Linked DNA regions of Oryctolagus cuniculus. The protein of the gene in region 2 purifies or fractionates together with the protein of the main gene of each other region. This does not show direct contact. Links are inferred from orthologs where the notes say so. Each region holds a gene or a part of one and is shown on either strand. Other genes may lie near its edges.

Region 1 (3,650 bases), on a different chromosome or scaffold from region 2:
CAAATCGAGATGTATGACAGCTTACAAAGTACTTACTCATGCATTATTTCAATCTAACAACCTTATGAAGTATGAATATGTACTATTACAAAACTGAACATCAGAGAGTTACTTTAGAAGGGCTCTTTGGCTAATAAGGGATACTTAGAGCATTTAGAGAAGTATTAAAACAAAATAATGAAATGCTTAGAAAGTTCTTTTTGTTCAATCTGTATAAATTCTAGTTTTATACTCACCTGCCTCATTTTAGCATGAATATAGAAGCAAGAATAACCCAGTTGAGAAATCTTCTTGGCTAGCAATTCAACTCTCTGAGAGGAATTACAGAAAATGATTGACTGGTTTATCTGAAGCTACAGGGATGAAAAGGAAAAACAAAAATCTTAAGTTGGTTTGCCAAGTTTTGAAAATACTGATTAGTAAAAAAGAAATGTTAATAACATGGTCTAAAATTCAGAATCTCAAAATACAAGAGACAGAAGTTGTAAAAATTGTAAATATGGAGCAGGCATTTAGTACAGCACTTAAGATACCACTTGGGACATCTACACCCTGTATCAGAGTGCCTGGGTTAGTGTCCTAGCTCAGTTCCTCCTACCTAGCGTCCTCCTAATGTGTACTCTAAGGAGACAACAAGAGGTTTAAGTATTTGGGTCCCTCCTACCCACATGGGAGACCTGGACTGAATTCTGGACTCCCTAGCTTTGGTGTGGTCCAGCCCCAGCTATTATGGGCATTTGGTATGTGAACCAGCAGATCTGTCTCTCTGCCCTTCAAATAACATCAGAGAAAAAGGTATAAAGAAACTTTTAAGTTCTTATCCAACTTAATAGCTGCAGAAAATTTGTTTTATTATAGAACAGTGTATTTCACAAGGATCACATTAAGTGCCAATGTGCAAGATATAGCCAATTTTTATTCACACTACTCATTTTCTATAAAATCACTGAAAACACTGATTTAGAAAAAATACAATCAGTGCTATTAGGGAAATACAGTACTAGGCTTCTGATCATAACTTTTTCATTAATACAGCAGTATGTAACTTTGTTTTATACATATTTCTGTTTAAGGATGTCTCGTATTCACTTGAAAACCAATACCATGATAACTCATGTTTGCAAAAAACTTACCTAACACACATTTTCTCTGCAAGGCACATCCCAACATCAATATTTTGAGACTGAGGAATACCAAGCAACACCTTAGCACTATGTGTTAAGGGTCATTTTAAACAGTGAAATAATCAACTTTTAAAAAGCATAAAAAATGGGGCACTAAACAGACTCTGAAAAGGACATCTGTTCATAGTGTGACAGCTAAAACCAGAAGGCAGTGTTGCCTGGAGCAAGTATTGTGGTAGGTGGGTTAAACTACCATTTGCAATGCCTGTATCCATGTAAGAGTACCACTTTGAGTCCTGACTACTCTGTACTTCTAATCCAGCTCCTTGCTAAAATGCTTGGGAGGCAGAGGATGATGGCTCAAGTGGCTGGGTTCATGTTATCCTCGTGGGAGATCCAGATGGAATTGTTGGCTCCTGACTCCAGCAGGCCTACCCCTGGCTGTTTTAGCCATTTGGGGAGTGGAGAGTGGATGGAAGATATCTATCTCTGTCACTCTGCCTTCAAAAAAAAAAAAAAAAAAAAAAAAAAAAAAAAAAAGGGCAGGGGCTGGTGGCGTAGCAGGTAAAGCCAATGCCTACAGTGCTGGCATACCATATGGTGCTGGTTTGAGTCCTGGCTGCTCCATTTCTGATCCAGCTCTCTGCTATGGCCTGAGAAAACAGTGGAAGATGGCCCAAGTCCTTGGACCCCCCGCACCCACTTGGGAGACCTGGAAGAAGCTCCTGGCTTCGGACAGGCATAGCTCCGGCCGTGGCAGCCAATTGGGGAGTGAACCAGTGGGATGGAAGACCCCCCCACCTTCTCTCTCTCTCTCTCTCTGCCTCTCCTTCTCTGTATAACTCTGACTTTCAAATAAATAAATAAGTAAAAATAAATAAAAGCAGTACTGCCATTTTAGACCTTAACTGAGAATGTGTGTTATCAACTGACTCAATTTTTTTGCCACATTGTAAATATCCACAAACAATTGTGAAAGGGCATCAAGTATTGAATTGGAAGTTATAAAAAATCTGCAAAGGGGACAGTGCTGTGGCGTAGCAGGTAAAGCCGTCGCCTTCAATGCCAGCATCCTTTATGGGTGCTGGTTCCAGTCCCCGCTGCTCCACTTCTGATCCAGCTCTCTGCTATGGCCTGGGAAAGATGATCCAAGTCCTTGGGCCCCTGCCCCCATGTATGAGACCCAGAGGAAGTTCCTGGCTCCTGGCTTCAGATCAGCACAGCTCCAGCCATTGTGGCCATTTGGGAAGTGAACCAGTGGATGGAAGACCTCTCTCTCTGGCTCTCCTTCTCTCTCTGTGTAACTCTTTCAAGTAAATAAATAAATCTTAAAAAAAAAAAAAAATCTGCAAGTAGACAGATTCACAAACAATTTTTGAGTAATGAGGACCAACTGTATTAATATCAAGCTATTTTAAAATAAAAGTACTATATCAAACAGTATCAATTTGAGATCAACACATGAAACTGTAAGGAAACACAAGACTTTACAGTGAAGATGGTAGAAAAATTGCTACAACTGTCATTCAGAAAGGGAAGCTACTACTGACCCTGGAGAAAAGTGTGTTGAGGCAGTGTACTTTTTGGCGCTCAGTTACATATGCGTAGTACTGGGTTACTCCCTTCAGAGTTAGTTCCTCCATCAGGTTAATCTCATAGGGTTTCTGTAAATGGGAATTCTGAAAAATAAAGAAAAAAAGACATGCTTAAATGAAAGCAGATTTTCTTTTAAACTCAAAACATATACTAACATTCCTGTCAAACATTTGCTTTAAGGGATCTCTCTTCAAAACAAGAATACATCACGTCTCATGGAAGAAACATATTACCACAAGATGTGGTATCTCAGATTCAGAAATGTAGCAAAGTTATTATGGTCTATTTTGAATACAGGATAATGTAATCAATGTACTTATTAGAATCAATGACTATGTCAGCCTGAGAAAAGCAAGGTAAAACATGAAGAACTTAACCAAGCAACTACTTATTAATAGCTTTTTAAAAAAATGTTAACTTACATACAACAAAATCTTAACAGAGCAGCTGAAGGGCAAAAAGTTGAAATAATCAGCATATACAGATACATCAATAAAAGATGTAATTATGGATAAATCAAAGTCACATGCAGAAGGATGACATTGCAGAAGTTTATACTCACCATGAATTTTTGTACACTAAGAGGGAACGTAGCGGAATATAGTAAAATCTGCCTGTTTTTAGGTAGCGTGAGAATAATATCCTCCATTATCTGCACAAAATCCTGTGACAGCAACTTATCTGCCTGTTGACCAAAGAAAAAACATTTTTTGAAAAAAAATTAAAAATGTCAAAGAATAAACATCGAATAAAAGCATCCATGTAATATTCCTAGTTGTAAACAGGAAATTCACTCCAAGACACAAAGTTCAATGGTAACAAACTTCCAGTGATTCAGATGAGAAGTCTATATAACCTCCATCTTTTACAAAAAAACTCCAGACCAATTAAACCCTGTTTTCCATGGCAGAATTTTAATGTGATTCTCTT
Region 2 (3,750 bases):
GCTCCACGTACTGCACAGGCCTGGGCCCACGCTCCCCGGCCCGGCCGACGTCCAGCTGCCGCTCCACCTGCTGCCAGGCTGTGGGGGTAGGGCAGTCAGCCGAGCCAGGCCCCCCGGCAGCCCCTCGCACCCGGGGTCACCCTGGACTCCAGCCCGGCACAGGGAGTGAGCAGTGTGTTCAGGGAGCTGGCCGCCTGCCAAAGCCGAGCCTGCCCCGCGGCCGTGGGAGTCGGGTTGCAGCAGGAGGAGCCCCAGGGGCCCAGGCCGCCCCCTCACTACCTTCGGACACAAAGCGGACGTTCTCCTCGTGGGCCAGCGTGTAGGTCTCCTGAGTGCCCTCCAGGGACGGGGACGTGGCGTGGGGCCGCCGGCCGTTCACGCGATTGAACACCAGCCTGGGCCCCGGACTGCGGGAGGGGAAGAGGCATGTGGTCGGCACCTGGTGGGTTGGCCACTGTCCGGTGGCCCCGAGCCCCCGCGGCTCCGGCCACACCTGCGGCCCTGCCCTGAGGGAGGTGGGCGATGCAGGCCAGGGAGGGGCCCCGGTTCTGTCGGCACAGCTTCTCGGGGTCGTGGGAGCAGGGTGGTCTCTGTCGGTCCGTCCCTCTCCCAGGCTGCCCCCAGGCCCCCCGGCGGCTGAGCACTGGGCACCGGGCAGCCCCTGAGAGGCAGAGTGGCTGCAGCCTGGCCCCACTCCCCGCGGAGCGAGATGGCCCCCCACCCGCGTGGCAGCTCGTGACATCCAGGGGGCCGCTGGGCCCGCCCCGGCCAGCGGCAGCCAGCTCAGCCCTGCGAGGGGAGGGGCCGCACCTACAGCAGGAGGTGGGAGCCGGGAGTCCTGCTCGCGTCCTGGGCTCAGGTGCCCCAGCGCTGCTCTGGCTTCCTCCTCAGCTGAGAGGGCCACTACAATAAAGAGGAGCGTCCTGAGGGGCCGGCAGGGGTCTGAGGGCCGCAGGGGAGACCGGGCGGGGGCGGGGCTCCCCGGCCTGCGTGCTCTGTGAAGCCGGGGTTCGCCATAAAGCTCCGTCCTCAACTCGGAAAGCACCCCCACCCCGACCCATTGCCAGCTGCAGGCCGGGGCGCTCGGGGAGACGCAGGAAGCAGCTGCACCGAGGGCCTGGCTCCGTCCTGCGGGGGACGCCCGGGCCCCAGTGTGCGCCCCGGACACGCGTCCCCTCCACGGCCCGCGAGGCAGGCCACCCGCCCGCCTCGAGTCCAGCAGCTTTGCGGGTCATGTCTGCGGGTGGGGGCAACGGTCGGGACCTCACGGCCCAGTCCCTGCCTGGCCACACAGGAGCTGCCGCCACTTCTCCCGGGTCAGGAGACCACGGGGCCCACCCTGCCCGTCCCGGCTTTTTGCTGCCCCGACTCGGCCTCGGCCACTGCCAGCAGCGGCCCCACGGGTCCCCGGTCAGCAGGGGGGTGGGGGGTGAAAGGCGGGATGGGGGCCAAAGCAGAGCTGGTGTGGAGTGGCCCATAAGGGATGGAGGGGCACGTGGGGGCCCACTGGTGGGGGTGGGCACCCCTGCCCAGCAGGTTTGGCCTTTACGGAAACAGGTGCGCAAGAGGGCCTTGGCCCTCCCCCAACTCTGCCACAGACCCCCCCCTTCCCCTCCCCAGCCAGGGGGTCTCGGAGGGCAGGAGGGCGGGCACCTGGCCCTGGGCCACAGTGCTCCGGGCTTGGGTGGTGTGTGGCAGCCTCCCCAGAGAGCAGGACAGAGGCCCCCGCCCGGGGCATCTGACTACCGGGAACAAGTGCGGGCCCGAACGCCCTTTGCCCGCCCTCCACTGCCTCAGGGGGTCCCGGGCCGCTGGGCCCCTGCGCAGCGCCCCCACCCGGGCGGGGCCAGAGCAAAGTCCGCCGCGGCCGGGAGTAAGCACTCCAACCGCCCGCGGGACGGGGCCAAGGAAGGGAAAGGTTCAGCCGGCCCGGGCGCGGCGGCCTCGCGCCCTTGGCAGCCTCAGCCTCTGCTGCGGGGACGGGGCGCCCCGGGGCCCAGGGCGTCCCGGGCGAAGGGCGCCGAAGGGCAGCTGCCTGGCAGGCCCGGGGCAAACACGTGCACCGCTCCCCGCCCAGCTGCGCAAGGACGCAGTCCGAGACCTTGAGGGCCCGCGCCCGGGCAGCTCGCAGACCTTGACAGCAGCGGCTCCAAAGGGGGTCTGGGCGCCGCAGCCCAAGGTCGCCCGGCCTCCTCCGAGCTCACGCGACAGGAGGCTGTGCTGTGCGCCCACCTGCCCGGGCCCCGGCCTGGCCAGGTGAGGCGGAAGTGGGGCGCCGGCGCGCGGTGCTCGCACGTGGTAGGGACCCTCCCGCCTCCGCTCAAGGTGACCCCGGGCCGCGACTGCGCTCACCTCGACAGGGGCCAGGGTCCGGGCTGCTGCGCGGAGGGCTGCGCCCGCGGGGGCTGCAGGGTCGGCGGCGCGGGCTGCCGGCATTTCAGGAGCTCGCCGAGTCTGCTCTCCACCTGCTGCTGCGAGGGACCTGCGGGCGAGCGGAGGGCGCGTCAGCCGCCGCGGGTCCCCGCGCGGACCCCGGCCCGGCGCGGACCCCGGCCCGGCGCACCTGTGCGGCGCTGCGCGACCAGCTTGCTGGGCCCCTTGGTGATGGTGTACATGGCGGAGTGGCCGCCGCGCCGCCCACGCGCTCGCCCGCACGCGCAGCGGCCAGTCCCGCGCCCGCCGCCTGCCTCGCACTTGGCGGGCGCAGAGGGCGCGGCCCCTTTAAGCGGGGCCGGCGCGGCGACAGGGGGCGGGTCCGCTCCACGCCCCCCGGCCCTTAAAGGGCCCGCGGGCTCCGGCCACTCGCGGAGAGCCGGGGGCAAGGGGGGCGTGGCCAGGGGCGGAGCTGCGGGCGTCTGTGCGGACGCCGGGGAGACTCCGTCCGCCTAGCCCACCGCGGGCTCGGCCCCCGGACTCGGCTGTGGGTGGTCGGGCCCCTGCCAGCCCCGAGGGCGGCCCGGGCCGGGCGGGGCGTTCCTCCGGGTCTGGGATGGAGCCGGTACCCTCACCCCTCCCAGGCAGGGGCTGCTCAGAGACCCCCGTCCCGGCCCGCAGCGCCAGCTGTCCGCAGCCGGGGGTTCCGTGCTCGCGGCCTCGGGCCCCCTGCTGAGAGCTGACAGCCCAGGGCACTGTCAACGTGCAGGGTCTGTGGGGTCCAGCAAGGGCGCTCAGGCTGCTGTGGGCACCTGCACACCTGGAAAGCAGTGGGGTGGCCAGACTGGAGGAGGAGCCCTCCCCCGACCTGCACCTGCTCCTCCTCCCTCCTGGCCTCCCTGGGACCCAGGGTGGCCGGGCTGTCCCGGTCAGCTCTCCATCCTGTTCTCTCCGACCTACTGGACCAAGGCCAGGGACCCTGGGAGCAGGGAGCAGGGACGGCGTCCAGGCCCCACCCCGCAGAGGGCAGCGAGGACAAGGCGTCTTCTCCACCGGCCCCTGTCAATCTCATCAACAGAGATTTTATTTTTTCTCCGGAAGAAGCTCATGCTGAGGGTTAAGGTCCAAGATGCAGGAGGCCCAGTTTCCCACCGCCCTCGCTGGGTTTGCAGGTCTAAAATCTGTGCCCTGACCCTCCAGCCGAGGCTGGGCTCGGGCTGGGCTTCTGCCCGCAGAGGGGTGCCCCGGAGGCCCCCAGGGCCTGGCTGGCCGGCTGCTCTGGCGTCACCCCCCCACCACGAGCCAGGTCCACTCGGCCCTGCCGAGGGGGACGGCTGGAGGAAGTTTCTGGAACGCAGCGAAGGCGGGGGCTTCACT
Region 3 (2,697 bases), on a different chromosome or scaffold from region 2:
ACACGGTCCAAGTGGGCATACGGGTCGTCGGGGGGATGACTGGTGTGATGTCTCTGGAACTCCAGGACTCCCACCTTGGAGGGCTGAGTCTGAAGTCCATGATCCCTGCCAAGCTTGCGTGTGTGTGTGTGCGTGCGTGCACGCGGAGACAAGAAATGTATGTACACACATGTATAGTGATAAAGCTGTAGAGACATAGCAAAGCAGACACAGAAAGGAAAAGAGTGGGCTGCATTCCAAAGTCAAAGATGTTCTGAAGGTCTCAGGTGGGCAACGTTCAAGGACTGACCAATTAGCAACTCTGCTGAGCCCATTACAAAACCACACATACATTAATACAGGGCCAAATCACGTGTGTTTGAGCGGGAAAAGGGAGAACAGGCAAACAGCGTCACACACAGGGTTTCCTAGCTGGGAGAGCGAGCGGCTCTTCGCTGCTTGTCTGATAACCTTCACCGTCTACCTGCTCTGACAGCTGGCTTACCTGAGGTACGTGGGCCATGTGGGCTGGGTTGGTATACGCCGGCTGGACGTGAGAAGGGTGGATCGTGAAGACGGTCTGCTGTGCTGCTGGGAAACCGCTCTGTGGCGACTGCGTGTTGGAGGCAGGTGTCATGGAAGGGGGGGTTGGAGCGAGCCCCGCGTGGTAGATGGCTGACTGCTGCTGTGGACTGGCCAGGTGGAGAGCTTGGGCGGCCTGGTGCTGATGGTGCTGCAAAATGATGGCGAACAACTGAGAGGAGAACTCCAATGCACTCCAAGCAGCTGGAGGTTACAAAAAAACAGGCTTCACATGGGCCCAACTGGCGTGAGGGGTGCTGGAAGGCACAGGGAGTGACAGCAGGGCTGGGGGCCTCCTGTCTAGAGACAGCCCTTTCTGGAACACAGGAGCCCAGTCCTCAGTCTGGCAGTAACAAACTCCCAACCAAACAGTGGTCAGCCAAGACCTCCGCCAGAGATGAAGCCAAGCCAGCAAGGAAAAAAAACACAAGTCTGGGCAGTTCAAGCCAGCAGCTAAGCTGCTGGCGAAGGTGCCAGCACCCCTGTCGGAGTCCTGCACCTGCTCCCTGGCTCCAGCTTCCTGCCAGTGCAGACCACAAGAGGCAGCACTGACGGCTCAAGTACTTGGGTTCCTGTCACCCACACAGCAGACCTGCACTAAGTTCCTGACTCCCAGCTGCAGCTTAGCCCTGGATAATGGTTGTTGTGGGAGTGAACCAGCAGACAAGAACTCACTTGCCTCTGCCTCTCAAATAAATCAAATTTAAAGAAAAAAAATCTCATCAACTTTTAGAATGAAGTAAAAAAGTCCAAAGGAAATAGGAATGTTAAATTATGAACATTTTGTCAATAAGATTTTCCAACATCAATCTGTTTCCAGAGCCCATCCACTTGTCCCCCACCCCAGGGCCCAGCTGTGCACTGCAGCCCTGAGGGCGGACGTGCAGTCTGACCAGGGAGCAGGCCAAGCCTCGCCTAGTGCTGGACACAGCAAGGCTCTGCAGGCCTCCAGGCAGCTCCTTACCTGAACAGGACTGGGTGCAGGATGACTCCCACCATGCTGACTCTGCTGCTGTCCGGTAGGTGTCGCTGAAGGCTGAGGATGTGGAGTATGTGGGTGCAGGGTAGCATTAGGATGTGCGTACTGCTGAGCAAGGGAGCCCGTGGAAACTAGAGTGGAAGAGAAGGGAGCATGTGCATCCGGCGCGTGGTGGCCCTCCTCACCAGGCCCCCCCGCCCAGCCCTGGCGGCAAAGCCTCTATCAAGCCACGGCCAGTCTCAGCAGCGGGCTCCATTTACACCCGTCACTGTCTTGAAATAATAACTTTAACAAGAAGACTAGTCTCTGATTCATTATCAAACTGATTAATAAACAGCTGTGTGTATATACATATATATATAAAATCCAATTTTTAATTCACTTTAAAAATAGTCACTAGGTTTTCCTGAAAAGGCTACATAAAAGCATAGGCAGAAATAACTCAAACAGCTGTGCAAGATACACACACACACACACACACACACACTCCCTCCCGCTTCAGTTCAAGGCCATCATCTGGCTAACCTCACCATGCTACTGCCCTGGAGCTGGCACAATGTCCTGCAGCCACAGACTACAGGGGCTGCATCAAGTATGAGGCAAGGTCAGGGTTCTACTACCAGGGCCAATGACCACAAATCTCTTTCAGTCGATCACAGGAGCTGCTCTGACGCTCAGCTCATTCCCCAGGCCCTACTCAGTCTTCCCACTTCTGCTTTTTAAAAATCTAGATGAAATGACCTGACCTACACAGAAAAATTAACTTCCCTCAAAGTGTTCCAGCCCTTTAGAATGAATTCTACTGGCTAGAATGACTTCAAAGAAAACGTGATCAGTTCACATTAACATGTTTATGGGGTCTGTGCTGTGGGATAATGGGTAAAGCCACCACCTGCAGTGCCAGTATCCCACATGGGCACCGGATGGAGTTCCAGCTGTTCCACTTTTTTTTGGGGGGGGGGGCAGGCAGAGTGGACAGTGAGAGAGAGAGAGACAGAGAGAAAGGTCTTCCTTTTGCCGTTGGTTCACCCTCCAATGGCCACCAAGGCCGGCGCGTTGCAGCTGGCGCAGCGCGCTGATCCGAAGCCAGGAGCCAGGTACTTCTCCTGGTCTCCCATGGGGTGCAGGGCCCAAGCACTTGGGCCATCCTCCACTGC

What was found. Proteins that work in one complex are often made in the same cells at the same time.
Region 1: the proteins of MCRIP2 (region 2) and DDX6 purify together in Homo sapiens (co-immunoprecipitation; 5 studies listed by BioGRID and IntAct, with this or other methods). This does not show direct contact. The link is inferred for Oryctolagus cuniculus from reciprocal best matches to the Homo sapiens genes MCRIP2 and DDX6.
Region 3: the proteins of MCRIP2 (region 2) and ATXN2 purify together in Homo sapiens (co-immunoprecipitation; 3 studies listed by BioGRID and IntAct, with this or other methods). This does not show direct contact. The link is inferred for Oryctolagus cuniculus from reciprocal best matches to the Homo sapiens genes MCRIP2 and ATXN2.

Annotation. Positions count from the first base shown.
Region 1 is NC_091432.1:111,492,181-111,495,830, reverse strand, and holds part of DDX6 (probable ATP-dependent RNA helicase DDX6), read right to left. Parts: intron 3,406-3,650; coding exon 3,283-3,405; intron 2,804-3,282; coding exon 2,675-2,803; intron 354-2,674; coding exon 237-353; intron 1-236.
Region 2 is NC_091450.1:34,051,906-34,055,655, forward strand, and holds the start of MCRIP2 (MAPK regulated corepressor interacting protein 2), read right to left. Parts: upstream 2,722-3,750; 5' UTR 2,616-2,721; coding exon 2,564-2,615; intron 2,483-2,563; coding exon 2,353-2,482; intron 408-2,352; coding exon 280-407; intron 79-279; coding exon 1-78.
Region 3 is NC_091452.1:8,885,045-8,887,741, forward strand, and holds part of ATXN2 (ataxin-2), read right to left. Parts: intron 1,672-2,697; coding exon 1,526-1,671; intron 713-1,525; coding exon 485-712; intron 1-484. UniProt on the Homo sapiens protein: Involved in EGFR trafficking, acting as negative regulator of endocytic EGFR internalization at the plasma membrane.